4 linked regions of the Oryctolagus cuniculus genome follow. The protein of the gene in region 1 purifies or fractionates together with the protein of each later gene. This does not show direct contact. Links are inferred from orthologs where the notes say so. Each region holds a gene or a part of one and is shown on either strand. Other genes may lie near its edges.

The links. Proteins that work in one complex are often made in the same cells at the same time.
Region 2: the proteins of SMARCA1 (region 1) and BPTF purify together in Homo sapiens (affinity purification with mass spectrometry; 4 studies listed by BioGRID and IntAct, with this or other methods). This does not show direct contact. The link is inferred for Oryctolagus cuniculus from reciprocal best matches to the Homo sapiens genes SMARCA1 and BPTF.
Region 3: the proteins of SMARCA1 (region 1) and POLE3 purify together in Homo sapiens (affinity purification with mass spectrometry; 3 studies listed by BioGRID and IntAct, with this or other methods). This does not show direct contact. The link is inferred for Oryctolagus cuniculus from reciprocal best matches to the Homo sapiens genes SMARCA1 and POLE3.
Region 4: the proteins of SMARCA1 (region 1) and CECR2 purify together in Homo sapiens (affinity purification with mass spectrometry; 3 studies listed by BioGRID and IntAct, with this or other methods). This does not show direct contact. The link is inferred for Oryctolagus cuniculus from reciprocal best matches to the Homo sapiens genes SMARCA1 and CECR2.

What each region holds. Positions count from the first base shown.
Region 1 is NC_091453.1:107,217,993-107,225,308, forward strand, and holds the start of SMARCA1 (probable global transcription activator SNF2L1), read right to left. Parts: upstream 3,816-7,316; 5' UTR 3,617-3,815; coding exon 3,446-3,616; intron 3,243-3,445; exon of another isoform or gene 3,126-3,242; intron 1-3,125.
Region 2 is NC_091448.1:13,812,467-13,819,862, reverse strand, and holds the start of BPTF (nucleosome-remodeling factor subunit BPTF), read right to left. Parts: upstream 4,843-7,396; 5' UTR 4,616-4,842; coding exon 3,997-4,615; intron 1-3,996. UniProt on the Homo sapiens protein: Regulatory subunit of the ATP-dependent NURF-1 and NURF-5 ISWI chromatin remodeling complexes, which form ordered nucleosome arrays on chromatin and facilitate access to DNA during DNA-templated processes such as DNA replication, transcription, and repair.
Region 3 is NC_091432.1:216,996,531-217,003,658, forward strand, and holds POLE3 (DNA polymerase epsilon subunit 3), read right to left. Parts: upstream 4,843-7,128; 5' UTR 4,768-4,842; coding exon 4,702-4,767; intron 4,602-4,701; coding exon 4,516-4,601; intron 4,213-4,515; coding exon 4,094-4,212; intron 3,499-4,093; coding exon 3,326-3,498; 3' UTR 3,295-3,325; exon of another isoform or gene 2,840-3,294; 3' UTR 2,091-2,839; downstream 1-2,090. Other genes in the region: C1H9orf43 (uncharacterized protein C9orf43 homolog), read left to right, coding at 6,179-6,261. UniProt on the Homo sapiens protein: Accessory component of the DNA polymerase epsilon complex. Participates in DNA repair and in chromosomal DNA replication.
Region 4 is NC_091440.1:97,508,969-97,516,313, reverse strand, and holds the start of CECR2 (chromatin remodeling regulator CECR2), read left to right. Parts: upstream 1-2,503; 5' UTR 2,504-2,693; coding exon 2,694-2,819; exon of another isoform or gene 2,820-2,967; intron 2,968-3,457; exon of another isoform or gene 3,458-3,677; intron 3,678-7,345. UniProt on the Homo sapiens protein: Regulatory subunit of the ATP-dependent CERF-1 and CERF-5 ISWI chromatin remodeling complexes, which form ordered nucleosome arrays on chromatin and facilitate access to DNA during DNA-templated processes such as DNA replication, transcription, and repair.

The DNA.
Region 1 (7,316 bases):
CACAAAAATGCTCTCGTGGGGCCACCATTATGGAGCAGTGGGTTAAGCTGCCACTTGTGACATTGGCATCCCATGAGTTCCAGGTTCAAGTTCTGGGTTCAAGTCCCAGCTGTTTCACTTCTAATCCAGCATACTGCTAATATGCCTGGGAAAGCAGCAAAACATGGCTCACCTCCTTGTGTCCCTGCCACTCACATGGGAGACCCAGATGGTATTCCAGATTCCTGGCTCTGGCCTGGCTCAGCCCCTAAACGGTGGTGATTTGGGGAGTGAACCAGCAGATGGAACATCAATACCCTCTCTATAACTCTGCCTTTCAAATAAATTAATTTTTAAAAATGAAAAAAGAGAAAATGTTCTCACCCAAAAGCCTGTTTTCTTTTAGTGGACATACGATTCTAGCAAGTTTTGTAATCTGGCTTCCCATACTACAGAGAGTCAAGGCAACAACAAATGACATGGGAAACACTACTAGAGGAAGGCAAGCCCACTGAGGCCAGCAAGAAGGAAGAGCAGACGCCCACTACTAAGATGTGCACGTCACTGCAGGAGCACACCTTATCCTTGGTGTTCAGGAGTAATCCTTTCCCTCTCCCTGCTGCGGCACCATTTCTGCACTTTACAATGGTTTTATGGTTTTGTCACACATATATCCTTTGTCATAAACTAACAAATTTTTTTCTGATGAAAGTAAGATAATGCATAAAAAGTGATGTGGCCTAGAGGGTAAAGCCAACACCTGGAATGTCAGCATCCCATATGGGCACCAGTTCAAGTCCTGGCTGCTCCACTTCTGATCCAGCTCCCTGCTAATGGCCTAGGAAAGCAGCAGAGGATGGCCCAAGTCCTTGAGTCCCTGCACCCATGTGGGAGACCTGGAAGAAGCTCCTGGCTCCTGGCTTCAGTCTGGCCCAGCTCTGGCTGTTGTGACCATTTGGGGAGTGAACCAGCAGATGAAAGGTTGATCCCTCCCTCTCTGAAACTCTTAAATAAATCAGCAAATCATTTTTTAAAAAAATATGATAGCTAACAGCTTGGCAACTGAGGGACAAGACAAACATATTTTAAAAATCAACAAAATACTGGAAGAACTGGAAAGTTATTATTTAACTGAAGGGAAACAACCCGCTGGATCTCAATAGGCTTTGTATCACCATCAGAGTACAAAAACTGATGCTCATGAAAGGTTAATTTTTTTTTTGTACATTACTTAAAGTCAAGGTATGGGCTGGCGCTGTGGCATAGTGGGTAAAGCCACTGCCTGTGGTGCTGGCATCCCACATGGGCACTGGTTCGAGTTCCGCCTGCTCCATTTCCAATCCAGCTCTCTGCTGTGGCCTGGGAAAGCAGAAAATGGCCCAAGTCCTTAGGGCCCTGCACCCACGTGGGAGACCCGGAAGAAGCTCCTGGCTCCTGGCTCCTGGCTTTGGATTGGCCCAGCTCTGGCCATTGCAGCCAATTAGGGGAGTGAACCAGCAGATGGAAGACCTCTCTCTCTCTTTCTAACTCTGCCTCTCAAAGAAATAAATTTTTTTAAAAGTCAAATATGTAACATATTTAGATTTTTAAGGAAAACTTAAAGTAGTAAACTTCGTATAACCAGGAAATTCCTGCCAAGTGGTACTTCATTCCCCTAGCCTAAGCAGACAAATGAAGTACCATGAGGGTGATTTCTGCTGAGGCTACACAGTAGTTGAATACATAGGCAACAACTCAGCGCTTACACAGGTTTCACTATTGACCCTTCCTCCCGGTTTTTTGCAATTCAAAAAAATTATACAATCTGGAAATTCAACAACCTATACAACCATACTAAAAAAAAATAATAGGTTAGCACTTACACTTGCCCAGTCTATCGAATAAAAGGCACCTAGACACAAGTCTGAATTTTCCAACATTTGACTTATATTATGGTTGGTACCAGCCCAGCTTTCATCATGAATATTGCTGTGCTGATCCAAGTACTGCATAAATTTTAAAATGCATATGTTTTCTATGGCTTTCACTCAGCACTACAATTGTCTTTCTGCTTAATTAACCTTGAAACTGTAAAATATATCACTTAAGCAAGTGCTGGATTTAAAATTACTTTCTAACTCAAGGCAAAAGGTGTTAATTTCCGTCAAAAGCTTTTCATTTGGCCGTATAGGATCATATAATGATTCAGACAAAGCCACTTGAGATCTGTAAAGCATAATTTTAATCACCCACCGTTTTTAATTGCGATATGTCTACTCATAAGTGGGAAAAAAATCTACCCATAAACGATCGTTTCTCCTATTTGATTAACCATCAAAACTCCTTATGCCCCATTCTATTTTTATAGCAATTTTTGAAGCATTTCATAGTTTTATTTGTATGTTCAATCCATATGAAGTATGCCTTCTAGAACTAATACATATTTTCTGGATTTGGCTTTAATATATGTGAGATCGCTCCCTTTACGTATGTTAGTAGCGGCTCATCTTCGCGACGCTGGGTTTTAAAAAAAAAATTTAAGAAATCACACACACACACACACACACACACAAAAACCTGCATGTGTCCAAGAGCGAGGAGCGAGCAGCGCCTACTAGGGCAAGGAGGCGGAAGCTTGGAAGGCTTGGGGCCGGATTGGGGGACCATCTGGGTGGCCCTGGAGTGAAACACTATACCATCGGGGGCGGGGCAGACGAGGGTGAGGGCGCAGACGTTGGAAATTTTCCTAAGCCAGCGTCCGCGGTTCCTCAATTTGGCGTTTGGATGGGGGGGGGGGTACCACGCGGAGAGCTCGTTCTCTCGGGGTGACACCCCCGCCTCAGTAGAGGGGGAACAAACGAACAAGGGATGATTTTTTTTCTGTCAACCGAAAGCCCGACACTGCCAATCAAAGGAATAAATGTCTTCCCTATCATCCTCCACCCCTCCACCTCTAACACCTTGAAATTCAAATTACAGAAATAAGCCCCAGCCAAACCCCGTTAGCGCGAGTGTGGGATTGAAGGGCCCAGATTTCCCAGGCAGAGGCCGACGGGAAGCGGGGGGGAGAGGGAGCGAGTAAGCGAGGGAGCGAGCAAGGGAGCGAGCGAAGGGAGACGGGGAGGCGGAGGCTTTTTCCCGCACGGCCCCATCCCCCAAGCCGTTACCCCAGTTCCAGGAAGGTGGAGGGGATCGGGGGTTGTCGAGGGGCTCCAAGCCCCCCCAAGCCCTGGGATAACGGGCACCCCGCGCCGCGGCCGCCCGCGCGCCAGCCCCGCCCCCGCCCTCCCGGCGGCGAGAAGGAAAGGGGGAGGGGAGCGAACGCGAGACGGTTCCGCCGCCCCCTACGAGCCCGCCGCCCCCATCCCTGGCGAGCTCCGTCGGTACCTGTCGGCGCCCAAAGGTCAGGGCTTGGGGCCCCTCAGAGGGACCTTGTACAGGATTTGTCCGCCACACAAACACACACACACACCCCCTTCCTATTTACCTCCTTCTTCTTCTCGCCCTTCTCTGTGCTGGCGGTGGCTTCGGTGGCCGCGGCGGCCGCTCCCTCCTCAAAGGTGGACGGCCCCGGCTGCTCGTCCTCCACAATCACGACTGTGGCGTTCGCATCAACCGCTGCCACGGTGGCTGCCACTGCGGCGGTGTCCGGCTCCATGGCGTTGGAGCGGGAACGAGGAGGGGGACGAGGAAGGGGATGAGGGCTCCTGGGCGGCGGCGGCGGCGGTGGCGGCGGCGGCTGCACTGGAAAGAGCTAGATGGAGCAGGGGTGGGGAATCACTCCGCTTCCAACCCTTTCGCGCGGCCCCCCTTCTTTAAATAACCCTCAACCCTGCCCCACTTCCGTCCACCCACTCTACGTCATGGCCTCCCCCCGTCACCCTCCCCCCTTTCCCCCACCCCCCCCCCCCAACGATCGCGAGACTCCCCCTCCCCATCCAGAGCCCGGGGCCGGCCCCGCACAACCAACTGTTGCCTAAGCTAGAGGCGCGGACTAGGTGGAGGCGGGAACCCGCAGCCCGCGACCCTCTAAAAATCTCCTTTGCCACAGGCCCCCAATAGTGAGCTTGAGCTCCCCTCACAAATGTGTGCAAACGGAATCCACTTTCCCATATATCTGCTCTTTGTACCTCGGGGCGCCCTCCCCTCTTGCACAAAGAACTTTTTCTGGGCATATAACTGTAAGCCGAAGGCTTTCTCCCCCGTTTGCAAAGCCCGGAACCCCTCCGGGGACTGCCCTTTCCCAGGTCTCTAAAGGAGTTGGATTGCTGGTGCTCTTCCCACCTTCCTAAATTCTGCCAGAGACGCGCTCTTTGAATATCTTGATTGCAAACATTCACTAACAAGGCAAAACCTCACTCGTGGGTTTTACGTATTTCAACGCATTTCAACTCGTACCTCTCAGAAGGCCAGTGGGCAAAAGACCTTATTTTGCCTTCACCACTGAATTTTAAAACTCCTGGGGGACAAGGTCAAGGTCCTCCACAGAACCTGGGGCAACACATGGTAGGTACCTAATGTTAATAACTGAATTACTGTGATTTGTTGGTTCTTGTTATGTTCGCATCCCCGTTATTATTTGATAGTAGTTGAGCACCAATAGCGAGCATAAGCGTGCATGTAAAAATACTTGTAAAGCGTGCAACAATATGCAAATGTAATTTTTGAATACCAGTATTATAACTTTTATTTCTCCTCGCCATTTATTTTGATCAGGTTAGGTTTACGTGCTAGCCTTTAATTTTCCATCATTAGGGACAAGACAAAACAGTAAGCCAAACAACCACCACAAAGCCTGCAGTTTCCAAAAATGAAGCCAATACTTTCCAAAGTGAAAAGAAGTCATGATTAATTTTCCTCAGCATGCTTTTTTAAATTACCAAGCTGAAATGAGGTGTGATTTCTTCAAATAGCAGGGCAGCAACAGTTGCTCCTTTTTCTTAGAGATTATACCCTAAATTTATTTTTGTTTTAAAGCCTGAAATCCTATACATGCAAAAACCTTGTGACTTTTTTTTTTTTTTTAGCTAGTATTGGTCATTTCCACCTTAGTCTGAGATCCTGTCCAAGAACTGGCTTGGAATAGAGAAAAAGAGGCAGAGAACACGAAACTAGTAACTGAAGGGGTGTGCTAATGAGAGAGGAAAGGAGAAGCTGGTGGTGCTAGCTTTGTTCTGATTTGATGTTCATTATGTTCTCATTTACTTTAGATTTTCCCACCCAGTGCCCATGTTTCTTATCCTGAAGTATACATGTGTACTAGCCAAGAGACAGAGTGTCTTAGTATAAAAGTGGCTTGTGTTTTTGAAGCGTCGACTTCAGTCAAAAAATGGGACAGAATTAAGTTACCTAATGGATCATTTGAAATATGATTTTTTTAAATTAAAGTGTATAGATGTATTCACGAATGGACTACAGAATTCGGAATTTGAAGTGTCTCCAAAGAGGAACCTGAGACTTCAGTTAGACACCCTACCCTTTCCCCAGCATCTGTGCTATCTGCTCAGTGATAAAGGGTTCTTAGGTGGAAAGACAAGGATGCTGCAATAGAAAGTAGCATGCCACTGGCTTGACTAGGACCCTTGTCAGGCAAGGACCCAAGACAGGGACAGGCAGCGGTAATGGAGGACGTCTTTTTCCCAGAACTACAGCTAAGGAAGCTAGAGTTTCCCTGTCATTGCCTGGGGCTTCAAAGGACAAAAGCTGAAGAACTAATTGGTGTGTATTGGGCTGCTGCTTGCGTAGGTACTTTGTGCCACTCTAGTACTCATTACCAGTGTGCAGTATTTCACTTACATTGTGAGCGAAGTGCACATTTGTGAGATCTGTAAAATCCACATCCCTTTCTAAGACCTTTTCTGTAGGACCATGAGTTCCAAGTTCCAAAAAAAAAAAAAAAGTTAGGAATTGATTGGAGGAACAGAACATATTTGTACGTTGGCAGCTGTCCATGTATGTATAATGTGTTCCTTCCTTTTCAAGATGACATGGCTGAAAGTGCTATCAAGTATATGAATTTGGCTGCAAAGGGTGATGCTTAGTCAATAGACCTTGCCACAGGATTCGTGTAAATATTGCCCTTTGGCTGATGGCAACAGCTGCTATTTACAGAGCGTGTGCTATCCTTATTTGCAAATCTGCCTAAAAATTAATGATCTGTAGACTCTGTGCAACAAGTCACCCTGCCTCTGATCCTACTCAACACCTTGTTCTCTGCTACTCTTTCCCTCTATTATGTATTTTCATTTAAATGGAATTTTTTTTTTTTTGACAGGCAGAGTGGACAGTGAGAGAGACAGAGAGAAAGGTCTTCCTTTGCCGTTGGTTCACCCTCCAATGGCCGCCGCTGCAGCCGGCGCACCGCGCTGATCCTGGCAGGAGCCAGGAGCCAGGTGCTTTTCCTGGTCTCCCATGGGGTGCAGGGCCCAAGCACCTGGGCCATCCTCCACTGCACTCCCTGGCCATAGCAGAGAGCTGGCCTGGAAGAGGGGCAACCGGGACAGAATCCAGCGCCCCAACCGGGACTAGAACCCGGTGTGCCGGCGCCGCAAGGTGGAGGATTAGCCTATTGAGCCACGGCGCCGGCTAATGGAATTTAATTGCTCTATTCCACTGGGCTTGGAGATCAAAGCAAACTTTTAAAAAAAAGAACCCTTGGGGCAGTATTTGGGAACCGCAAAACTAATCCCAGACTACAGAGAGATATGTCCATTCTGACAGATTATGACTATCATAGAGGCTGTACAATAATCATTTCCCATAGCCAAACTTGTTTAGTAGCTACAAGAATGTATGTCCACTGGTGATATTAAATACTTTTATGAAGTTCATGAAGGCAAGGTCAAGAGCTTGGTGTTCCTTTTCTTATCCTGTATCTGAAATTTGTTATTGAAACCACAGTGTGACTTTCAAACCACACTGTGATCCCACTGATCCGTGCTCCTCAGAAGCTAGTACAAAGGATTCTGATCCCAGTATGTTGCTTACAACTACTGTAACCATTCTGCTCATATCAGTAAGCTTTCTCACCCTTTTTCTTAAAGACGTTTATAATAGTGGCATTTTTGAAAATGATATTTCCTTGGTGCTCTGTATGCACCAAGGAAAGATAATGATGATAGCTAACATACACTCCCATTTCTTGAGCACCCACTATTGTATCAGGAACTGTGCTAGATTCTTTACACATGATGCTGCTAATCTTCTTGATAATTCCATGAAATGAATATTTTTTTATTTGCAAGGCAGAGAGACAGAAAGAAGATGGACAGACAGAAACAGAAAGACATCAACTATCCACTGGTTCACTCCACAAATGCCCACAACAACTGGGGCCGGGTCAGGCCAAAACTGGGAGC
Region 2 (7,396 bases), on another chromosome or scaffold:
AGGAGTACAACACCCATCCAGATCCCAGCAGTTATCTCCCTCTCCTCCGACCCATCCTGCAGACAGAAGCCACGCTAAATCCCCAGGAGTCTCACTAAATCATACCCCACCATTTCCACATCTTCTGACTGATCCCAACCCCTAAAATTAAACAGATATGCAATGGGTTTGGGAGAAAGAGGGCTTCAGGCCACCTTCCTGGTAATTCTCTCAAATAGCAGGAAAAGGAAATAACTGTGGCTCAACGGCATTTCTGTGACTTGGTTTGGTTCATGCTTATGCGAGGTGCTTGTGGGAATCCAGCATACCCCTTGGGTGCTGGGGAGTACAAAATGCCTGAGGCCTAATGCTTATTGGACCAATGAGGGAGGAAAAGTACAATGACTCCAGCCTGGTTCTCCAGGTACTGCCCAACGCAGCATACAACAGAGCTTTAGTTTGTTTCCTACTCACATCCTCAGGCTCCAGCAAAACTCATTACTTGCAACTGCCCACACTTCTCCCTCTGCCGCCCTCCCTCTACCGGCCCCACAATCCAAGGCCCCTGCAGGAAGCACACAGGCTCACGCCCACACACATCTCAACAGGGTCTGATCTTGCCTTGCCTTGCCTTGCAGTCTCCCCCAGCACTTTGTACCTAACCTGTAGCAATCAGGAATCGCACTCATTCTGAAAAGGTGTTTGACACTGGTGGAAATGAGACTTGCCAAACCCTTAACAAATGCTTAATCGGGTGATCTACAGATCCATTCATGGCCAGACTCCAACAGTCATCTTCCTTAGAGGACATAATCACTCACTCTCCCAGGATACCACCAGAAGTTTTGCTTTCTGAAATCATCAGAGGTTCCAAATTTCAAAATTCCAGGTAAGTATTCTCAGAAGTCACACAAATTAAATGCAAGAACCACTCTGTTCAAGCATAACTTAATTTCTTAAAATAAGCAAATGCTTAACTTCAAAGAGTGGTCAGAACTCTCTCAGCTGTGTATTCGGACCAGATTTCCAATACAAATCCTTTGCAGTGCACTGACAAAAGTCTGTCATAAAACCTGTAAGCTGGAAGAATTCTCCATTTAAAAAATTCAGATAAATCAAAGCTCTATTCAGCCAAATGCCTCCAGCATTAGCAAACCTAATGATTTCAATTTGGCATTAGTAATAAGTTGTTATCCCTATTTTAAAATTTTTCTCTATAAGAAAAAAATATTCTCCAATGAATAAACATTTTTAAATCTATGACTATATCAACAGTTGTATAAGGATACTTCAAAAACTCCATGGAAAATGGAATTAAAAGACAAATTATTTAGGCACAAAACAATCTTGAAAGCCAAAATGGTTTCATTAGAGATATTTTCCATGAACTTTTTGAAGACCTCTGGAATTACCTACGTAGTACTCAACAGATGAAGAGATTATTGCCTACATCAGGGATTTAATGTTAGCAGCTAAGCCAACATTCTAAACTAAAAATTAATCAAATATTCTAAATTACCAATAAAGTATATGCCTCATTTAGCCTTAACAGTACAACAGGATTCAAATACACCAACCACATTTTCTCATGTGTACATGGGATGTCTTAAACCAGTCCTAAAAGTTTTCTTTTTTTCCAATGCATATACACATTGACCTGACAGCCTCCCTCCTGGGAAGTCCAGACAACAAAACTACTGAAACCAGCACCTGACAACTCACTGTCAGCAAGCAGTGCCACTCACTAGGCAAGCGGACATATTCTCAAAGTTTAGGTCCCACAATGGAGCATCTATTTTTACCATAATCCTGAGAAGTAATGTGTACCCAAAGGCAACACATCCCAGTTAATACCACATCGGGTAAAGGAAGGAAAATACCTGGGAAGCAAGGCGAAACAGCACTGGGAACAGTAACTCCATGACTGGACATGAACTACTCAAAGCGAGCATCAGAATCTCATCAGACCAACTTTTAGTTCCCCAAGTCCAAAATGTCTAGGAGTTACGCCTGCCAATTACAGAATGACCAAAACTTCATCTACTGCAAGTTCTCACCTAGCAAATAATTGCGTATCCAATCAATCTTTGATGAGCACCTGCTACATGCCAAACACTGGTTTAGAGCTCAGGGAGTATAACATCAATACCTACCACTAAGGAGTTAATTTTATATATGGATGGGACAAGCATACACAAATTAGGCTACCAGCGTCGCTAAGAAAAACAAAATGTCAAGGAAGTATCACAAATATTCAAGTACTAAAAAAAAAAAAAAAAAAAAAAAAAACAGGAAGCCTCACCACAAACTGTACTTCAACTCAGCACAGCCATCAACCCCCCTAGCATGATTTGCTGGGCCCTCAGATGGGAGTGAAAGTTAGCGGAGCCGCCTGCCTGCCAGCCTTAGCTCTAACCGGGAAACTTCCTGCAGTGGTGGCAGTCAGTCAGTCTCCATGATTCCACACAGGGGATGAACCTGCGACTGCTCAGTGACAACTACTGCCACAGGAGATGACAAAACTTGCATCTAGCTCCTTCTGCACAGGAGACAAGCGTGCCGGACGCTCGGTTCTTGGGAGCAAGACAGGCAGCTGTCCTGTCAGCCCAAAGAAATGAACTACCTTTCTTCATTTAATGTCAGGGCAATCTAAGTGCGCGTCCACCTGTTAGTACCCACACTTCCCCCATATGTAAGCATTTATTTAAAAAAAAAAACATTTCCTTCTAACTGCTTCTACTACCCTAGTCTCTCTAAAAATAACTCATTTCCTCATAAACTTTACTTTGTAAACGTTCTTAACACCAAATTGTAATTTAGTTCATGGAGGTTAACAATATATAAAGGTCATGCAGATTGCTGCTACAAGTTACTTCTTTTTTCCCCTCACAATTTAGTGAGCCACAACCACGGATTTCACACAAAGCAGCAGCTGCGAGTGTGCTTAACCAAATGCATCTCCTAGAGGAACTTTCTGAAAACACTCGGAGCAGCCTTCACTCCAGCGCCAGGGAGGGCTTTTTTCTTCAGAAACAAAACGGAAAAGGACAAAATGAGTAACAGATCTGCTCGTTCTGCCGCGGAACTGAGAAGCGATCCCAAAAGTTCATCTCCGGCAAGGCCGACTGCCCGATCAGCTACCTCCACGGCCTCCGCAACAGGTGACGCGAGGCGGCTCAGCCCGAGCGCAGCCCAGGGACCAGGCTGGCGGCGGCGGCCCTGCCTGCCCCTCTGCACTTCTGCTGTGGACTCACCAAGGTGCTCTGGGAGATCGGGTGCATTTCCAAGGCTGCTTTCCTGCGCTTTTCTGCACTGCTTTTTAATCAGCAATTGACTAGCAACTGTTGCACCGGCCCATTAGCCCTCCAAGCATAAAAACAAACACGGGACCAGATAAGGCTTCCCGACTCAGTCCACCGACCCATCTCTTTCACGCGATTTTGTAAGCCGCCCAGCTAGGCGTGCGAAGAGAAGCGTGTTTTGTGCGTGTTTGTGTGCCACAATCTGTCCCAATCCTTAATTCCCTTTTAAGGAAGGGATACATAATAAAAATCTCAAAGAGCCCACATTAGAAATGCAAAGAGGTTTTTGCAAAACAAGAGGCTTCTTTCATTCCAAAAAAAAAAAAAAAAAAAAACCACACCAAAACAAGGGGAGAAAAATGAATGCAATGGATAGGCGAGTGCCAAAGTTTCGATCCTGCCCGGTGGAGCCACTGCACTGGCACAAATTCTGAAGAGGAAAAAGAGGGGGCTGGGGGGGAGAGAAAGAGGGCGAGCGAGCGTGTGGCCTGCAAACTGCAACAATGCAATCTCCATTTTGAACAATGCGCCTCTTTCCTCTTGTAAATCTAGTTTTTTTGCCACTTGCTGTGCCGTCGCATTTCCCCTCCGTCCGAGGGGGGGGGAGGCGGGTGGGGGGAGGCCGGAGCAGGATGCCCGGCACTCGAGAGGGAGTGAGCAGGGGGAGGGGGAGGCGGCGGGGAAGCAGCCTGCAGCCACCGGGCTGGGTGGGTACCTGGAGTGCTGCTGTAGGTGCTATGGCTCCTGAAGCTGCTCTCCGTGCAGTAACTGGCGTCGTCGTCGTCGTCTTCCATCTCCTCCGGATAATCGGAGTCATCGTCGTCCTCCTCCATCTCATCTTCCTCGTCGTCCTCCGAATCCTGGGTCTCCTCGGCGTCGCCGTCCTCCTCCTCCTCCTCCTCTTCCTCAGAGACCATGTCCTCCTCCTCCTCCTCCTCCTCGCTCTCGTGGTCATCGTACACCACTTTGTTGACCGCCCTCCGGGCCGGGGTGGTCCGGGCCAGGTGGCCGCCGCCGCCCCCGCCCCCCGTCCTGCCGCCCCCGCCTCCTCGCCCCCCCCGGCCCGGGGCGCTGGTGCTGGGGGGGGCCGGCGGCGGCGGCGGCTTCCTCCGGCTACTGCTGCCCCCCCGGGGCGAGCTCAGCCGCGTCTTGGGCGCCACCTCAGCCTGGGCGGCGGCCCACCTGCCCCGGCTGCTGCCGCGGTGCCGCGAGCGGAGCCCCCCGATGGGTCCGGACGTGGGCGGCGGCGGCGGCGGCGGCGGCGGGGCCGGGGCGCAGCGCTCCGCAGCGGGAGCCGCGGGCTGCTTGGGCGGCCTGCCCCGCCGGCCCCTCATGTCGGAGCCGAGGCGCGGGGGGGAGAAGGGAAAGCGGAGGGGGGAGGGGCGGGCGCGGGGTGGGGGCGGTGGGGGGCGCCGGGGCCGGGTGGGGAGGCCGGCGGGGCCGGGCGGGAGGGGCCCGGCCGGCGGAAGCGGGTGGAGGGAGAAGGCTCAGTCCGAATTGCTGGGGCCCCACTCCGGATCGCCTTCAGCCGCCATCTTGTTTCTTCCCTCTCGCTCGGTGACTGGGGGAACCGACAGCGGCCGCAGGCCCGGAGCGCGGTCACGTGAGCTGCGCCGCCGACGAGCCTGGGACGGAGCGAGGCCGCGCGGCGGCCGCTAGAGGGAGCGCGGGAGCGCCGAGTCGGGGGCGGGGAGCCGGGCCCGGCGCTCCGGGACCGCGGGCGCCGGCGGCGCTCAGGAGAGAGGGGCATGCAGCCCCCTCCCCAGTACCCCCCGCCGAAGGCCCCGGGGGACGGGAGCCCCCCGCGCGACGCCCGGCCTCGGCAGGGCCTCCGCCGGCGCCTCCCTTCCCCGGTGGCGGAGAGGAGGGCAGGGGAGCCCCGACATACCGCCCCCTTCCCGCCCGCGTGGGGAAAGTGATGCTGAAAGTGCCCGAGTGTCACCACTGAGGGCGCGGCGCCGGCGGGAACGAGCCCCCCAGAAACCTGCAACTCCCGAGAGTCCTGAAGTGGACCCGGGGGACCCGTCGCGAGCCACGCCCCGGGCTGCCGGGCCCTGGCGGGGCGTCCACACCCGGAAGGCCTCCGGGGGTCTCGCGGGCACCTGCCCCCGTGTCCCGCTGCGAGCCGGACCCCCGCGGCCGGAACTTGGAAAAGGCGGCAGCCCACCTGCGGTCGACCTCGGCGCCTTGTATGTTTCTATTATTGCGAGAGGATTTTAATAGCTTTACCTGACGAGTTCACCTGGTCTCAGTTTAGCCCAGGCAAGCGACCGTGGTGATGATATCCCAGGCAGCCCAAATCGGGGGCGCTCGATCCCGGCGGGGCAAGGCCTGGTCTGGAGGTTATACACACGTAATGCTACTTACTCAAGTATGTGACGACCGAGAAGTAATTTCGAGAAATAATAGTTAGCAGGATTCTGCCCACCAAATGGCTTGTTTCGACCCAATTAGGAGGAAGAAACACATGCGAAATGAAAATTAATATAGAAGCACTAATTGCCAAATTAACGCATTCAGTACGATTCAGTTGAGCACCCAAGGTGACAAATTTACATACCCACTGGGCCCAGGTAAGTAATGAAAGAAAATGGAATGGGCAGGTGGTCCTGCCACCCACTGGGAGTCCCTGATGGGAGGGAGCCCTGGCTGTTGTAGCCATTTGAGGAGTGAACCAGTGGGTGGAAGATCTCTTTCTCCCTCTCTCTCTAACTCTTTAAAATAAATATTAAAAAAAAAAAAAAAAAGTAAAAGTGGCCATGTTTTGTTTGAAAGGGATGGTTACTGAAATGCAGGCCTAACATGACCAGCTCCTCAGATGTTTTCAAGAGCGTGTGGAAATGTGGATTTCCTGTGAAATCTCATGGCTTTTAAATGTTGGGGGGGGGCAACGTTGTAGCAGGTTAAGATACCTCCGGTGCTGGTTCCAATCCCAGCTGCTTCACTTCCGCTCCAGCTCCCTGCTAATGTGCCTGGGAAAGCAGCAGAACATGGCCCAGACATGGGCCCCCGTCACTCCCATGGGAGACCTGGATGAAGCTCCTGGCTTTGACCTGGCCCAGCCTGGGCCATTAGAGCCACCTGGGGAGTGAACCATGGAATGTAAGATCTCTTGCTATCTTTCTTTCTCTCCCCTCCCCCGCCCCAGCTTTCTCTCTCTCTCTCTCTCTCTCTCTCTCTCTTCCCCCCTTTCCCTGTGTCTCCTTCTCTCTGTAACTCTGCCTTTCAAATAAATAAATCTTTTTTAAAATGTTGGCAACTAAGTAAAAAAAAAAAAAAAAACAACTTCAGATGGATCAAAATACATGCCGTTCAGATAGAGCCGAGTCTGCAAGTTTGCAGCATGTATCCTACATTGTGTGAAAGACAGTTCTATGTGCAACAAGGAATGCGAGGATATTAGAAATGAGAGCAGCCTTCCAAGTTTACAGACTAATAGTGGAGGAAGCCAATTTATCACCACCCCAACTATTAGAATAGAAGGCACAGTGCATTACTTAGGGTCTTTAGTTGCAAGCAACAGGAAAATTGACTGGTCCAGGTAAATAGAAATGGAACTCACGAGGAGGATACGGACCCATCCAGAATTGCTGGTTCCAAGCGTAAATGGAATCTTAAGTGCTCAAGCTGTTGCCTTCCATCTGGCTTAGAAGCCCAACATTCTAGAAGCCATCCCACTGTTCCATAAAACCAGCCGCTTCCGGTTGTGGGGGTGCACAACGAGGCTAGCAGAGCCCCTAGGACACTCAGTCCTTTCAGTGTGAAGTCAGTTCGTTGGGCAGATGTCCGGTCCAAAGATGTGTAAGATACCAGGTGGAGGCAGGAGGTATTTGGTCAACTCCTGTAGGGTGATGATGGCAGCAGAAGCATGACTGGTGGAAAAAGCAGACCCGGATTCTGCATGAGCCTCTGCCCGACGGTCTTGACGCCCTGGGTCATAGACGGGATAGAGCCTCTTACAGGGATTCCTTGTTAATGGGCCTTCCCTAGTGGCAACGCTCTGGTCTGTCTTGCAGAAGGGAGGCCCACGATGAGCTGGTGATGACCTCGGTCCCAGTGCAGGGCCGTTTTGTTCAAGACCTCCAGAGGCAGGCACTGGCTTGGGAAGGAGCTCG
Region 3 (7,128 bases), on another chromosome or scaffold:
TCTGTGTTCCTGGCTTCAGCTGACCCAGTCCTGGCTGTTGCAGACATTTGGGGAGTGAACCAGTGGATGTAACCTCTGTCTTTGTCATTCTGCCTTTGAAATAAAGAAACTTAAAAAAAAAAATGGTTTTTGTTCCATGAATTTCATCATAACTTTATTTTTTAAAAATATTTATTTCAAAAGGCAGAGTGACGCAGAGAAAGATCTTTCTGTCTGCTGGTTCACTCCCCATATGCCCCAAGCAGCTATATAACTTGTTGCTACATGTGCCTGTTCTTCATCTTAGGCTTAAAAAGTGAGCTCACTTCCAATTTTTGTTCGGACATTTTTATAGAAAGTTTGTTAGTAGTAAAACAGGTGCAAGGCCAGTGCTATAGTATAGATTAAGCCTCCGCCTGTGTTCTGGTATCCCATATGGGCACTGCTCAAGTCTAGCTCTCTGCTTGTGGCCTGGGAAAGATGGGAAGATGGCCCAAGTGTCTGAGCCCTGCAACCACATGGGAGACTCGGAAGAAGCTCCTGGCTTCAGACTGGCCCAGCTCCTGCCATTGTGGCCATTTGGGGAGTGAATCACAGGATGAAAGACACACCCCCAGCTCCCGCTTTCCGTCTATATTACACGTTTCTTAGTTTTGACAAAGGCACCATGGTTTATGCAGTACGTGAACACAGGGAAAGTTGAGTGAAGAGTATGAGATTCCTGCAATTCTGTGAAACTTTTCTGTAAGACTGTTCCAAAGTTTGTTTGTTAAAATAAAACAGAAGCACAGCTGAAGGCCACCGGGACCCCAACAGGATCCCCATTCTTGTACATTGGTGCGATCTTGGGCAGGTCCCCTCGCTCCAAAGAGCCTTTCACCCGTCAGTGAGAGGTCTGGGGAGTGAACCAGCAGATACAAGACCTGGCTCTCTGCAACTCTGCCTCTCACATAAATCAATCAATCTAAAAACAAAAAACCAAAAACCTGTAGTTTTAAGCCAAATATTTCTAAGGAAAAAAATTTTTTTTTTTGGTGTAAGATTGGTGAGGAGGGGCAGGATGGATGGAGTTATAATGCAGTTCTTTTGGGATTCACTCCTGACAGGTGCAGTCTTATGATGGAGTAGCAGAATAGATGGAACGAGCTGTCCTTACGCAGGGCTTGTGTAACTGGTTTGTTTGACAGGAAGCAGGGTTGGGGGGAGGACTGTAACGCAGCCATGTTCCAGAAGGTTCACTTGGCTAGTACAGAGGGGAAGCAGAGATGAGGCAGGAAACTCAGCTCAAAGGAAGCCACAGGAGTCCAGATGGGACTTGGCTTAGCCTACAGCGGTGCTCATGGGAATTATGAAAGGATGTTTCTGCTGTGGACAGGGAAAAACCCATTGGATCAACTGACCGTGAAAACCTGCATACAGTTCTTCAAAAAAATATTTATTTGAAAGAGTTAGGGACAGAGAGTGATCTTGCAACCTCTGGCTCACACCCTACATGGCTGCAACAGCCAGGGCTGGGCCAAGCCAAAGCCAGGAGCCAGGAGCTTCTTCCAGGCCTCCCACATTGGTGGCAGGGGCCCAAGCACCTGTGCCATCTACTGCTGCCTTCCTAGGCCATTAGCAGGGAGCTGGATCGGAAGTGGAGCAGCTGTGTCTCAAACCAGGGCCCACATGGGATGCTGGCAAGGCAGGTGGTGGCTCTACCCACGAAGCTACAATGCCAGCCCCGATATGCATGAACTTTTTATGATTTGAAAAGACTGCGTAGGTTAGAGTGCGGTTAGGAGCAGTGTGGTTAAAAGGTAATGAGGGTGACAGCAGGGCTGCTTCCCAGGGTCTAAGAGGTAGTTTTGGCAGGCATTCGGAACAGCGCCAGACGCAGTGGGAGCTCAGGAAGTGGCGTCGCTGGCTTTCTAAGGTGCCAGCCATGATCAGGCTCGCGCCAGCTGAGCAGCAGCACCCTTGCCTGTGAGCGAGCGGCATCTGCTGGCCGCCAGCGGTGATGCAGGCTCCCGTGTTTCCAAGATCTGGCCCGGGGATCACACCCCAGACACTGTATGGGGACTTGATCAGTGGCTCCTCTCCAAAAGCACACGGGGAACACGCAGGCGTCATCTCTTCTAACAAGAACGTTCTTTATTCGTACAAAGCATTACAATCTTCTCAACAGCCATCACTCATTGAACGCCTCCCTGTGTTCATTTAACAAGTTGACAGTGTCAGACTACACTTCCCTACCTGTCAAACCCAAGCGCTCAACCTGCAAACAGAACAGTGCTTGTAGCACTGACCCAAAAGAGAGAAAGGCTCAGAGAGGCCAACAGGGGTGCTTTAGAAGCAGCTCGGGGGCACGGCTGGTGGGCCAGCCATTACATTCCTGAGCGCCATCTGACTGCCCTAAAGGGTTTGTATGACATTCTTTTTAAAAGCCGAGAGATTAGAACTAAGAAAGCAGAAGGACTTGCACTTTGGAATACTAAGCAGACTGTCAAAGTTCCCAGACTGGCAGGACTGAGAGAGAAAGTGGAAATGAGAAGAGCCACAGGAGCGGAGGGAGAGCTGTGCCTAGAGGGGAGACGGTCTGGAACTCTCCGTGAACTGAAGGAGGACGCTCAGGCCCCAGCCCGGGAGGCGGGCTTGGCCTCCAGCAGGTTCTCAAGTGCACATGGCGAAGGCAGTGAGGCGCCTGCTCCGTAAGACCCCGGCGTCCCTGCCTGCCTGCCTGTGGTCTCCACTGTTCAATCCGGAGCGCGTGAGCTCAGAGCGCGGCGCCCGGCCCGGCCCGCCCCAGGCAGGCTGCCTAAGGCACACAGATGAGCTCCAGGGTGAGCGGGTCTAACAGAATCCACTCCCACGGATGTTCCTGCCAAGGGGAGAGACAACAGAACAGATTTCTTTAATCCTCCAGTTCTCTTAGCAGTGTCCTAAAGCCAACCGCCTGACCACTTCACGGGTTTCCACGGCCACATCGTGTGCAAGGAAGCCCAGCTTTCTGGAGCCTCATGGCCTCTGAGACTTGGAACACAGCAGGCAGCAGGGGAATTACGACTCTCTTCAGGGGTAGGAGGACTGGGGGTCAAAACCTACCCAGCCATACATGTAAGCCAACACGAGAGATCACACTGACTAACGGAGCGAGCTGTTCAGTGACGACCGCCCGCTCAAGGAAGCGGCACAGGGCTGTGCCAGGCGGCTGCGCGGCGTCGGGAGCGCCGGTTCGGCTGGCGGCCTGCATCTGCTCCAGCACTCCAGCCCGGGGCAAAGCAGCGCACAAACACGGAGCCCACGGCCACCGCCCGCCTGCCTCCCGCCGCCCACCTGCCTCCCGAGGTCCAGACTCCCGCAGCACTCAGTTGTCAATCTCCTCCTCTTCATTCTGCTCTTCTTCCTCCAGCCTCTCCTCATCTTCATCGTTGTCCTCGTCCCTGCTCTTGTCCGGCTCTTCCGAATCCGCCTTTTTGTCTTTGTCTTTCTTCTTCTGTTCCGAAGCTTCCTTCTTGCCCCTCTGCTCCCGCCTATAGGCTGCAGGAAGAGGGGCGGGGTTAGGAGACAGGGCTGGGGGAGACAAGCGGGGACCGCAGCCGGCAGCATCACTGGACAGCTGGAAAAACCAAGGGACACGAGCAGAAAAGGACCTGGCGAGCAGCACCGAGAGGTCTCGGGTGGTGCCACTGAACTACGTCCGGTCACATCCGGTACTGGCTTTCTGGGCCACTCTTTCACAGTCCCAGGGCCACATCAACAGGTCACCCGTCTTCCATGTGGTTTGGGAAACAGAAGGGTACGGGCAGGCACTGGGGGCAGGGATTAAGGCGCAGCTCGGAACGCACGCATCCCATACCTGTACGGGAGTGCCTGGTTTGAGTCCTGGCTCCGCCACTTTAGAGCCAGCCTCCTGCCGGAACACCTTGGATGGCGCAAATACTTGGGGCCCTGCTCCCCACGTGGAAGACCCAGAGGAAGGGCAGGGGTCCGGCCCGGCCCGGCCCGGCCATAGCTAACCTGGGCATTTGGGGAGTGAACCGGAGGGCGGAAGATCTCGCTGTGTTTAACGATCTCTCTCTCTCTGCCTTCCAAATAAAGTGAAGAAGAAGAGAAGCCACGCGGGGGTCGTTACCTTCCAGGGCCTCCTTCAGCGGGGCGACGAACCTCTGGAACTCCATCTCCTCCATGGCGGACAGCACGTCGCTGGCATTCAGGGTCTTGCGTTTCCCTTTCATCGCGAAGTTGTTGGCACTGAAACAAAGCAAAAAGGGCTCTAAACGGCTGCCCCCTTCCCTCTTTAGGACGCGAAAAGGGGCACCCAGGGGTGGGAAGGGAGAACCCAGGCACATCTTGGCCGTACAGATGTTTGCGTAACCTGCGTAAACCCTGCCCTTGCCCGTACCTAAGTCTGCTGTTCGAACAGACCCGGGAAGACCCGGGAGGGGGGTTTACATGGGTCCCAGACCACAACTGCCAGCAGCGGTTCCCGGTGCCTCCCCCCCACCCTCCAGGCCTTAGACCCAGCCGGACGCCGGCTCGCTCTGTCCTGCTCACCACGATGTGGCGTACAGCACGAAGACGCTGGCGGCGCGTGAGATGGCGCTCCGGGCCTCCTTGGAGATGTTGACACCTTCCGGGAGCTGTGATGACGGCGGGAGTGAGCAAAGCCGCCGGCCCAGGACCTGCTTCCCTTCTGCCCGCTCGTCCGCCCCCGGCCCATCGCCAGCCCGAGCTGCTCACCGCCTCCTTGATGATCCTGGTGATTACGGCGTTGGGCAGGTTTAAGTCCTCGGGCCTCTCTGCCATGGCCGCGGTCGAGGCCTGAGTCTGAGCCTAGGGCCTCCTCCCCAGGTACCTCCAGCGTCCGGACTTCCCGCGCCGCTGCTGTCTGACCCTCCGAGGCTTCCGTTCCGCCTCACGTAGGCCGCACCGTGTCCCACAGTGCCCCGCGCCCCCAGCCTTCCTCCTACGCCAGCCCCGCCTCTCCACCTCAAGACGCTTTGCACCCGAACTTTTTGCGCTCGTAGCGGTTTTGGCTCGCTGGATCTTTCGGTCAGCGCCCACCGTACGCCGCACGTTCTTCCTCAGAAGAGTGTCTCTGCTTCACGCTCCCGCTACGTCCAGAGCTTTCGCCTCGAACTAAGTATGGCCCACGGAGGCTTCCGTCCGAGCCCCATCGTGCTCTGCGCCGTTGCTTGGCGACGGAGCGGCCTCGCGCCTCGCGTGGGAGACGGAGGCGTGGAGCCGAGGCGGCTGGGTGGGGCCCCTCCGGACGAGAGGCGGGGCCTGGTGAGCCATTACCGCCGAGCTCCTCGCCGGGCGGGGCTGCGTTGGGCCCCTGGATTTCGGGAACCCTCGGGGTTTCATCTTTGCCGTGGTCCCGAGGAGCCGGGACCCTGCGAGGCGGAACCGCTCCCTCCCGACAGCCACAGTGTTTTTCCTGTTCCAGAACGCAGCGGGGAATCTTTCTTCAGCCCAGCGCTTGCCGATGTCCATCCATCTTTCCGCCCCTCACGGCGCTGTGCTAATCCTTACCAAGGATAGGTGTTAGCTAGGCTTTTTTGGGGAGTTACCTTTTTTTTCCCTTGAGCTCTTGTTCACAGCGGGATGCGCCTGACCAGACTTAGAGGTTCATTTCGGGCTGGGCAGGAAAGGGCGGGAGCAGCCGCTTTTAAAATACTGCATCGTCCCATTTAAAACAGCCTTGTTAAAATTGCGTTTAGTTTTAGTTCATTACATTGTGTGTCGTACACCTTTCCCAGGCAAAATCATACCCAAGGGTTTCTTCTTCTTCCTCTTCCTCTTCTGTAATTAACAAATCTTTTTTATTTGGGAAGAGAGAGAGGAATCTTACATCAGGTTCAGTCCCCAGATGCTGGCCAATGGGTGGTGAGCCAGGTGGAAGCCAGGAGCCTAGAACTCAATCCAGGTCTCCCACGTGGATGGCCAGGACCCAACTACTTAAGATTTAGATATTTGATATATATATATGTGCATATATATATATATATATAAAAGAGAAAGCGAAGGAGATCTCCCATCTGCTGATTCACTCCTCAAATGGCTGTGCCCAGCTGGGCCAGGATGAAGCCAGGAGCCCCTACGTGGGTGCAGGGGCCCGAGCATTTGAGCCATCCTCAGCTGCTGTCCCAGGTACATTAGCAGGGAGCGGGATCAGAAGTGGAGCAGCCGGCACTGGAACCGGTACCCATATGGGATGCTGGCACTGCAGGTGGCGGCTTTCCCCACGACACTGCGGCTCCTGCAGTGGCACTTCAAGTTGTATTCCTTTCACATTAGGTATGTGGAAATTCTTACTGCCACTGAGAACTAATCCAGTTGTTTTTTTCCCCTTGAAACATGCTGTCTCAAATTTTTCTTGCTTTTGATGGATACATGATTAGAGCGAGATACTTCCCTATTAGAAAAACAGCAGAGCACATGCCATGGTAAAAGGCAACCAAACTTGAGCTAGAGACCAGGACCTCGTGGGGGTCCTACTGTACTTGGCTAGGGCAGACTGGGCGTAGAGATGCCAGGAGCTGGAACGCTTCAGCCAATTGCTGTGTAGTTGGAATTGGGCCCAGTGTTGTCAGATGTTTTGATCTGTAAGAGGAGCCAGAAATCTGGATATTAGGGACTATTTCGATTTTTGGTAGGCTCAAAGTGCCTGCCAAACTAAGCAGGTCAGGTTGGGTACAATCCAAGGCCAATAGTTCGCTGTCTTTGATCTGACAAGGTGTTCAGAACATGGTTTGCTTATCAGTGTTCTCCGTGCCCCAAACGAGCCCTCTCATATCTTTGGTAGTCAATAAACATGTTGGATAAAAGAAAGAAGAAGTGGACACTGTCCTTAAAAAGCATTAGGGATGGAGTGGTAGTGATTGCCTGAAACGTCTGCAGAGGGAAGAAGATTCTGAGCACCCATAATACCAGCAATTCAAGTGTATTATCTTATTTAACGATTCCACAGTTCTGCTTAGGGGTTCACACGCACACACACACACACACACACACACAGCCAGCCGCCTGCCCCAACCACACACGTTACGTGAGGAAACAGGCTAAGATGAAGTCACTTGCCTAAGACCTTATGCTTACAGCCAGTAAATGAAAAAGTAATGACCTCCGAAGCAACTACAAGTCTACTGATTTGCTATTTGAGTG
Region 4 (7,345 bases), on another chromosome or scaffold:
AGGGTATCAATTCCAAAGGGTCCGAGACATGAGACCATCTCATGAGACATGAGGTTCTAGCTGGAGCTGAAACCCAGGGCCCTCAGATACAGAGGTACAGCCAGACCCAGTATACTTTAAACCTCAGCTCCTGGGGCTAGGAAAGTCCCAGGCGCTAGGCAAAGAGCAGGGTGGTGAGGAGTGAGCCTGCCAGGGAGGAATCAGGCGAAAACTATGGAGCCTGTTTCAGAGTCAGAGAATGATGTAGGGAGATAGGTGTGAAGTACTGACCAGACGAACACCACGAGACTGCCAGGCAAATCCTGCCGAGGGCTCGAGACCGGGAGACAAACTTCTGGCCACCACCAGGGGGCACCTGCAGGTCCAGGACAGCTTTGTTGATCTCCAGGACCTGGGGAGGAAGGATAAGGACAATGGCGCAGGCTTCCCACGGGGAGTGGTGGGTGTGGGTGGCTGCAGTTAACTAGAGTGACCAGGCTTCTCGCCTTCTGCCTCCCGGTATTGTTAACCTCCGAGGCACTGTGACGACTAGCCTGGCTAGCAGCGCCAGCCCAGAGGCCAGGTAAGCCCGCGCGAGGCTGGTCGGAGGAGACACATGGACAACCAGAAAAAACCAGGAGCGGGGAAGAACAGTCAGAAACACGTGAAGAACAGCAGTCACAGTTGAGGAGAAGATCGAGTGACGGAAGTCCGGGAAGCATCTAAATCGGGATGAATGCCACAGCGGCCAGACGCCCTTCCCACATCTCTCCAGAGTAGCTGTGCTTCACCAACATCCAAAAACGCAGCCTCTACTCCCTGGGAGGATTTAGATGTCCCTTCATTTTTTTTTTTTTAAACAAAGATTAAAACACACGGTAGAATTTGAGGATGCATTTTAAAACATCAAGGAGTTCCAAGTAATGAAAGAACAAACTTTTAAGCGGTTTCTCTGCCTAGAGAGGGAGAGAGATGTTAGGAAACGATGTGAGATCCTTGAATACGCGAACACACTGGTACATTTTCTTTGAGAATTTTTAAATATGTAAATATCTGAGATGATGAAAATGATCAGAATAAAGAGGGGGGGTGGGGGTAGAGGGGAACACGCAGACCACCCCGAAGTCGGGCTCGGCAGCCGCGGGGCTCCTCACGCGCTGGCCACTGTCCACACAGCTCACAGGTAGCAGATGTCTGAGGCAGTCACGGCGTTGTGCCTGTCGCTCAGCGAGCGCGCCTGTGGGGGCAGCCCAGCTGAGGCCCTCCGAGACTAGGGAGCGCCAAAGACCCAAGCAAGTATCTGGGCACTCAAGGTAGTTTTTCTAAACTTCCAGCCGGCGGTTGAGGTGATTTTTTTTTTCCTTCGGGTAAATTCCAACGTCCTGAAGCAGTTAGCATTTCTAAAGCACACACCTGGGCCGGCTGCAGCCGGAGCCCTGCCCTTCAGCCCGACTAGCAGGTCTGCACCCCCCCGCAGACCCCAAACCCTAGCTCTTACTCCCATCCTCTTCCCCGCCCCCAACCCACGTCCTAATACATTGTGCGCGCTCTTCCAGGCCGCGGTCAGTCGCAGGGCTCCAAGCGCGACTTCTTCTGGGAGGTCACACGTGTCCATTCCCTGGGGGCTGGGGGGGGGGGGTTGTCCTCTGCTCGCTTGGCTGCTGATTGGTGCCTCCCCCTACCCCACCCTTCCCGCCGCACTCCAGCCTCCATCCTACTCGGTTCCAGCCTAACCAGCCCCACCACCCTCTTCGTTGGAGCAAAGAGCCACTTTCGAGCGTCTTCAAGCACCGTTCTCGCGTGGAATAAAAGCGCTAAGGCACAGGTGGAAGCCACTTCCATCTCTCTAGACCTCGTATTTCTAGCGTAGACACCCAGTCCCTCTCCTGCGCTCCCTTCAACACCATAATAACTCAACTCCCACACGTGCACGTTTTCTGGATCTAGCCCCTGTCGAAAGCACCACCCAGCGGGCCCTTTAAAAAGGACGCGACCACTAAGGCCAGGTGGGGGGGGCAGAAGAGACCCTTATTGTCCTCCCTCGCAAGTCATTAAACTCCGCCGTGCCCAACACCTGAGAAGCGAAGTGCGGTTCTCAGCAGTTTTGGGGGGACGCACCCTGCTCCCCTCAAGGCACACCACTCCTCTCCCTCGGGGGCCCGATTCCCCGCCCCTCCCCCTCCGGCTCCAATGCAGCTGTCCCGGCTGGGGGTGGGGAGCGGGGGCGGGGGTTGTTGTTGTGGTGAGCGGCAGCCCCGCCCCCTCCTCGTGGGCGGCCCCTCCCCCCCGGCCCTCTGTTCGGCCCCGGCCCCCGCCCCCAGCCCCATCTGTTTTCCCCGGCCGAGAGTCGATTATATTGTATGGGACGGGGGGCGGCCGCAGCCGCAGCCGCAGGATGGGGCGAGCGCGCGGACCGGGTCGGCTGCCGGAGCCGCAGCCGCCTCAGTAACTCGGGCCCCCGCCCCGCCGCCCCGCCGCCCCCGCCCGCCCTCGGCCCATGCTCACGCCGAGCAGCGGCCGCCGCGGGAGTAGCAGCCGCCGCCGCCGCCGCGCCGCGCCGCCGCCGCCCCCGCCAGAGGAGCTGAGGCGCTGAGGCGCTGAGGCGCTGCGCCGCGGCGGGAGTCCGAGGCGAGCGAGCTGCGCGCCGGCAGCGTGGGGGCCGCCGAGGCGCGCGTCGAGCTCGGGGTCGCCGCCACCGCCGCCGCGGCCGGGAGATGTGCCCAGAGGAGGGCGGCGCGGCCGGGCTGGGCGAGCTCCGCTCCTGGTGGGAAGTCCCGGCCATCGCGCACTTCTGCTCGCTCTTTCGCACCGCGTTCCGCCTGCCGGACTTCGAGATCGAGGTGAGCGGCGGCCGCGCGGGGCGGGCGAGCGAGGCGGCGCACGCCGCTCCCCTTTCTCCCTGTGTCCTCTCGGGGCGCCCGGGGCAGGAGGGTGCTGGGGCCGGAGCGACTTTGGCCGGGAGTCCGAAGCCGGGAGGAGGACGCGGAGGTGCGGGCGCGCGGGGTGGAAGGGCAGGCGGCGGGCGGGGCCGCTCGGGCTCTGCGCCGGGCGCTGGGCGCCGGGCTCGGGACGTTCGTTCGGGCGGCCACACTGCCGAGCCGCGGCTCCTGGCAGGGGCGAGGCGGGCGGCCAGCGCGAGGGAGGCGGCCGAGGGAGCGCTTTTGTAGGAGCGGGACCGGGCGGTTCTCCCGGGACTTCTCGGAAGGCGGCTGGTGGGGAGCGAGCGCGCGCTCCCTTGCCGGGGCCATTGAAGCGCCGAGCCAGCTGCCCCGGGCGGGGACGCGGTGCGGCGGCCGCACGGGGGGCGCCGGCGCTGGGTTTAGGTCGGACCCGGGGCTGGGCGGCGGCCGGGGCCGGTGGGGGAGGGAGAGGGCTCGGCCGGCTCGGCCGGGCGCGTGGAGGGGCAACCGCACTCGAGCGACTCTCGGGGCCGCTCGGGCGAACTTCGGAGCGGCGGAGGTGGGGGCCCGATCTCGGGGGGCGCTCCCCGCGGGGGCGTCTGCAGGGCGCCGAGTCCTCGCCGGCGGCTGCGGAGGGAAACTTTGGGACTCCCGTTATTCTCCGGCAGCCCCCTTTCCCCCTCGCGCCGCTCAGCCCTCTTTATTCCGGCAGCTCGGGAACTCTTTGAGTTGGCCTCGCCACCATTATGCCCCCGGGCGAGCGTGGAGGGAAGGGATGGCTTTTCGGCCGGGCCGAAGGTGCTTTCACACTGGGGCTTTGTGATAAGGAACTAAAACTGGAGGGTCCGGGTGGCAGGGATGGTGGCGGGAGTGTGCGGACCGGAAGGCACACGACGGCCACGGCGAGCAGCCAGCTCCGGCAGCATCCTCCTTCCTTTTATTTATTATTTATTATTTTTATTTTTTTGGGAAGGGGGGGCGAAATGGTTGATGGGTTGGTTGGCAGGTTGTGTGTGGTGACTTACCACCTTTTGCCTTTGGACAAAGGTAAATGGGAACTGTGTGCCGGTTTTTGTTTCCAGTTCTGCCAGAGGGTTCGTCCGTGGAGTAATCAAAATTAGGGTCACTCTTTTGGAGGAGCCCATCCATGTTTTTTTGCCTCCCCACCCCCACTTATCTTACTTTCTGCCATTTTCCGGTTGGTTTTCGTTCGTTTGCTCGGAAATTCTCTGCCTCACTTTTATATTGTTAGATTCGGTCGTGTTGTCTTGAAATATCATTTGCTTCTCACAGAAATGAAGTGTGGGAACTTGCCCTTAGAGCGTTAATGAAATCGGTAAAATAAAAAAGATCAAAGGGGTTGGGATGAAGGAGTGAAGAGGAATGTGGACTGATAAAGTAGGGCCACTGGCAGGCTTTGGCGAATGCCAGTTGCTTGAGCTGATTAAAACAAGGCGATTAAATCATAGGCTTCTCCAGTTTTTAGGAAGATGGAATAACTTAGGCAGTGCACCCTACACCACAGCGTTTGCTTTCAAAGTTTGAACGTGATTTTAACAGGCGGAGTGTTTGTAATAAACATTTTCACGAGACAGCAGGTTATAGTGACTAAAGAAGAGAAGCAGACCATGGAAATGAAAAGATTTGGGAATCCTGAAAGTTAAGATGCTTAACAACGACTTTGATGCCCTGCGTTTTCTTTTAGTTGGTGTAAAATCGTGAGTAGCGTGAATATATCCTGCTGCTCAAAATGGTGGCTGCTGTGGGAGGTGTTATTTGTGACAGTGCCATCTTGGGTGCTGGTCAACCTTCCCCCTAGACGTTTTTCTAAGTTGCAGGCTAGTAAAGTTGAGGTGATGGCTGGGATTACAAGTTTAAAATACTGTGGAAAAAAGTCGTCCTTTGAAATCCATATATTCCCATTTTCTTGATGGAAAAGTAGAGGCAACTCATTTTTCCCCCCTTAAGTACGTACGGCATATCTAGCGTATCCTATAAGAAAACAAATCAAAACAAACTTGTCTCCCTTCTCAGAAGTAAAACTGTAGTTTCTAAGTGTTAGGTGGTTTGATTCCTAAAGGAAATGTAAGCTGATTAGAGGTCAGGTTTATCTGAATAACAGAAATGAAAACTCATTGGTGAAGAATTAGGGCTGTTTGAAGTGATTTTCTTTATTTTGATTCTTCGCTTAAAATACTTGCTACTAGAAATGTATGTGAATATTTGGGTTCTATCATGTTCATATTTTAGGAACCCCTCAATTTATTTGGACTTGATCAGTAAATAGATAACAAATAGTACTAAGCCCCCCCCTTCACCCCATAGATCTTGTATAACTTTTCATGTTGGATGTGTTTTGATATGACTAGTGTAAGTTTTCACTTCAGATTGTTGGTATTATCAAAAATTGAAAATTTTAAAATTAACTTTTTCTAGACTTTTAAGAAGTTTTGACTCATTGACAGTTGAGAATTTACTGAAAAAACTTAAAATTTTGATTTTTCTAAATATAAACTTCTTTTTTCTAGGTGACTTTAAAGATTTAACTGTTTTAGAAATAGTTTCTTGGTTAAACTTTATGATGCAGTGAAAGTCCCTTACCAAAAGAAAAAACAGCTCTAATGCTGAGTTGTACCTGATAGACCATGTGCAGAGGCAGGCAGGCTGTACAATCTTAATTTGCTATAACTTTAAGAGCTACAAATTATGAATAGTACCAGATAGAAGTTGGGTATCTGTTATTTTCTGGACAACTAGTTTTTAACAGTGGGAAAAATCTCATTTTACCCTTGACCAGCAGGGTGAACCCATGGATCTATAGAAAATTAGGAAGTAGGATCCTCAAGGACTTGGCAATCTCTCAGATAGGTGAAGGGGCCTGGAGGATTCACGCTGCAGATCTGCAAGAGGTCAAGACATGCCATTCAGAGAACTGGACCCCAGAGCAAGGATATTTTTATTTTTACATGCAAAAAAGTGTTTTTGCTTGGCAAAACAGTCAGTATGCTTGATTTGTTGGCTTTAGGAAATGTGTAAGGATTTGTATGTTGCTGTCTTCCAGTAAGGGCCCCCCACAAATATGAAGGGTCTGTAATCATCATGCGTATATGGTTATAATGCTTGAAGTTACTCAATTTCTGGTTTTAAAATGAATACATACACATTATGTCAAAGAAGATTACAGGAAAATATATATAAGAATTAAAGTCACCCATAAGCACCACTTCAGGGTAAAAGTTGTTAACATTGTATCCTGCCACTCAGGGATAAAAGCTGTTAATATATTTCAAAATTACCAGATATGCTCACAATGTATTTGTGCCATAGGTTATTTTTCAGATGAGGAGATTGAAGTATAGCTAAACAATATTCACTACTCAGTACTTAGCATCATTAAGCACCTATTGTGTGCTTATCAAATTCACAGTTGGCTTCCTTTACCTCAGAAGATTATCTGTTAATATTTCAGAACCAGCAGTTATACTCTACTTCATTTAAGTCAAGTATTTTATAATTGTTTAATGTTTTAGTTGGTTAGGTTGGCTTAATTTTGGCCAGCTTTGAGGAAACAAAGAATGGTTAATTAACCTCCCCCTAAGATTTACTACTGGGTTTTTCCCTAGCCAGGTTAGGGAAGAATGCTTTTCAGCAATCTGGTTGGGTGTTAATTATGATGGATATAGGACTAGCGAGGGCCTCTAGGTAGCTATTTGGAAATGATCATGTGAAAGTATTTGAATGGTTTGTTTAATAGCAGAATGATCAAAATAATCTATCATTTCCACCATTCCTGCTTCCCACTGCTTGCTCTTTTGCTTTCCTTGTGTCTCTTTCCTGTTGTGGTAAGTCTCTTACCTGATCACATGATCGTCAGGGGGCAGTGCTCAGATTCTGGAATTCTGCTGTTGGTACTTCCTTGGATCCAGTCTCTTACTCAGGAGCATCAAGGCATGTATTTAGTTAAAAATCAAAAGAGGTAGTCCACATCATTGTGAGAAATTTATATGTACATCCATCATATTAGCAAATCTTGAACCTGATGGCCTGGAATTGGCTGTAGAAGATTTTGTGATGTATTGTGTGTACTTCTTAGCACTTTATTTTTGGCTTTCATCGATTTTTTTTTTTTTTTTTTGGAAGAGATCAGCTGCTAGATGAAGAAGTTGGTCCTGATGAGGGAATTCACCATTCAAGGTGCACTGGAGTAGGAGTTAGTTAGCAAACTTGTATTTAAAATGCCACTGACTTTATGACCTTGGACAGGGAAAAGTAACAAAATGATAAATGACTTTTGTATAGTATTTTGTATATTTTCAAAATGTTAGTTTCTATCCTTAGTGGTCCTTAACCATTACCATGATGTGAGGTTACTCTGGAGGAAACTGGAAGTTTAGAGAGGCTAAGTAGCGTGCACAGGGACTCTCACCTAGATCTTTGTGTCTTTGATACCAAAATCTGTGCTGTTG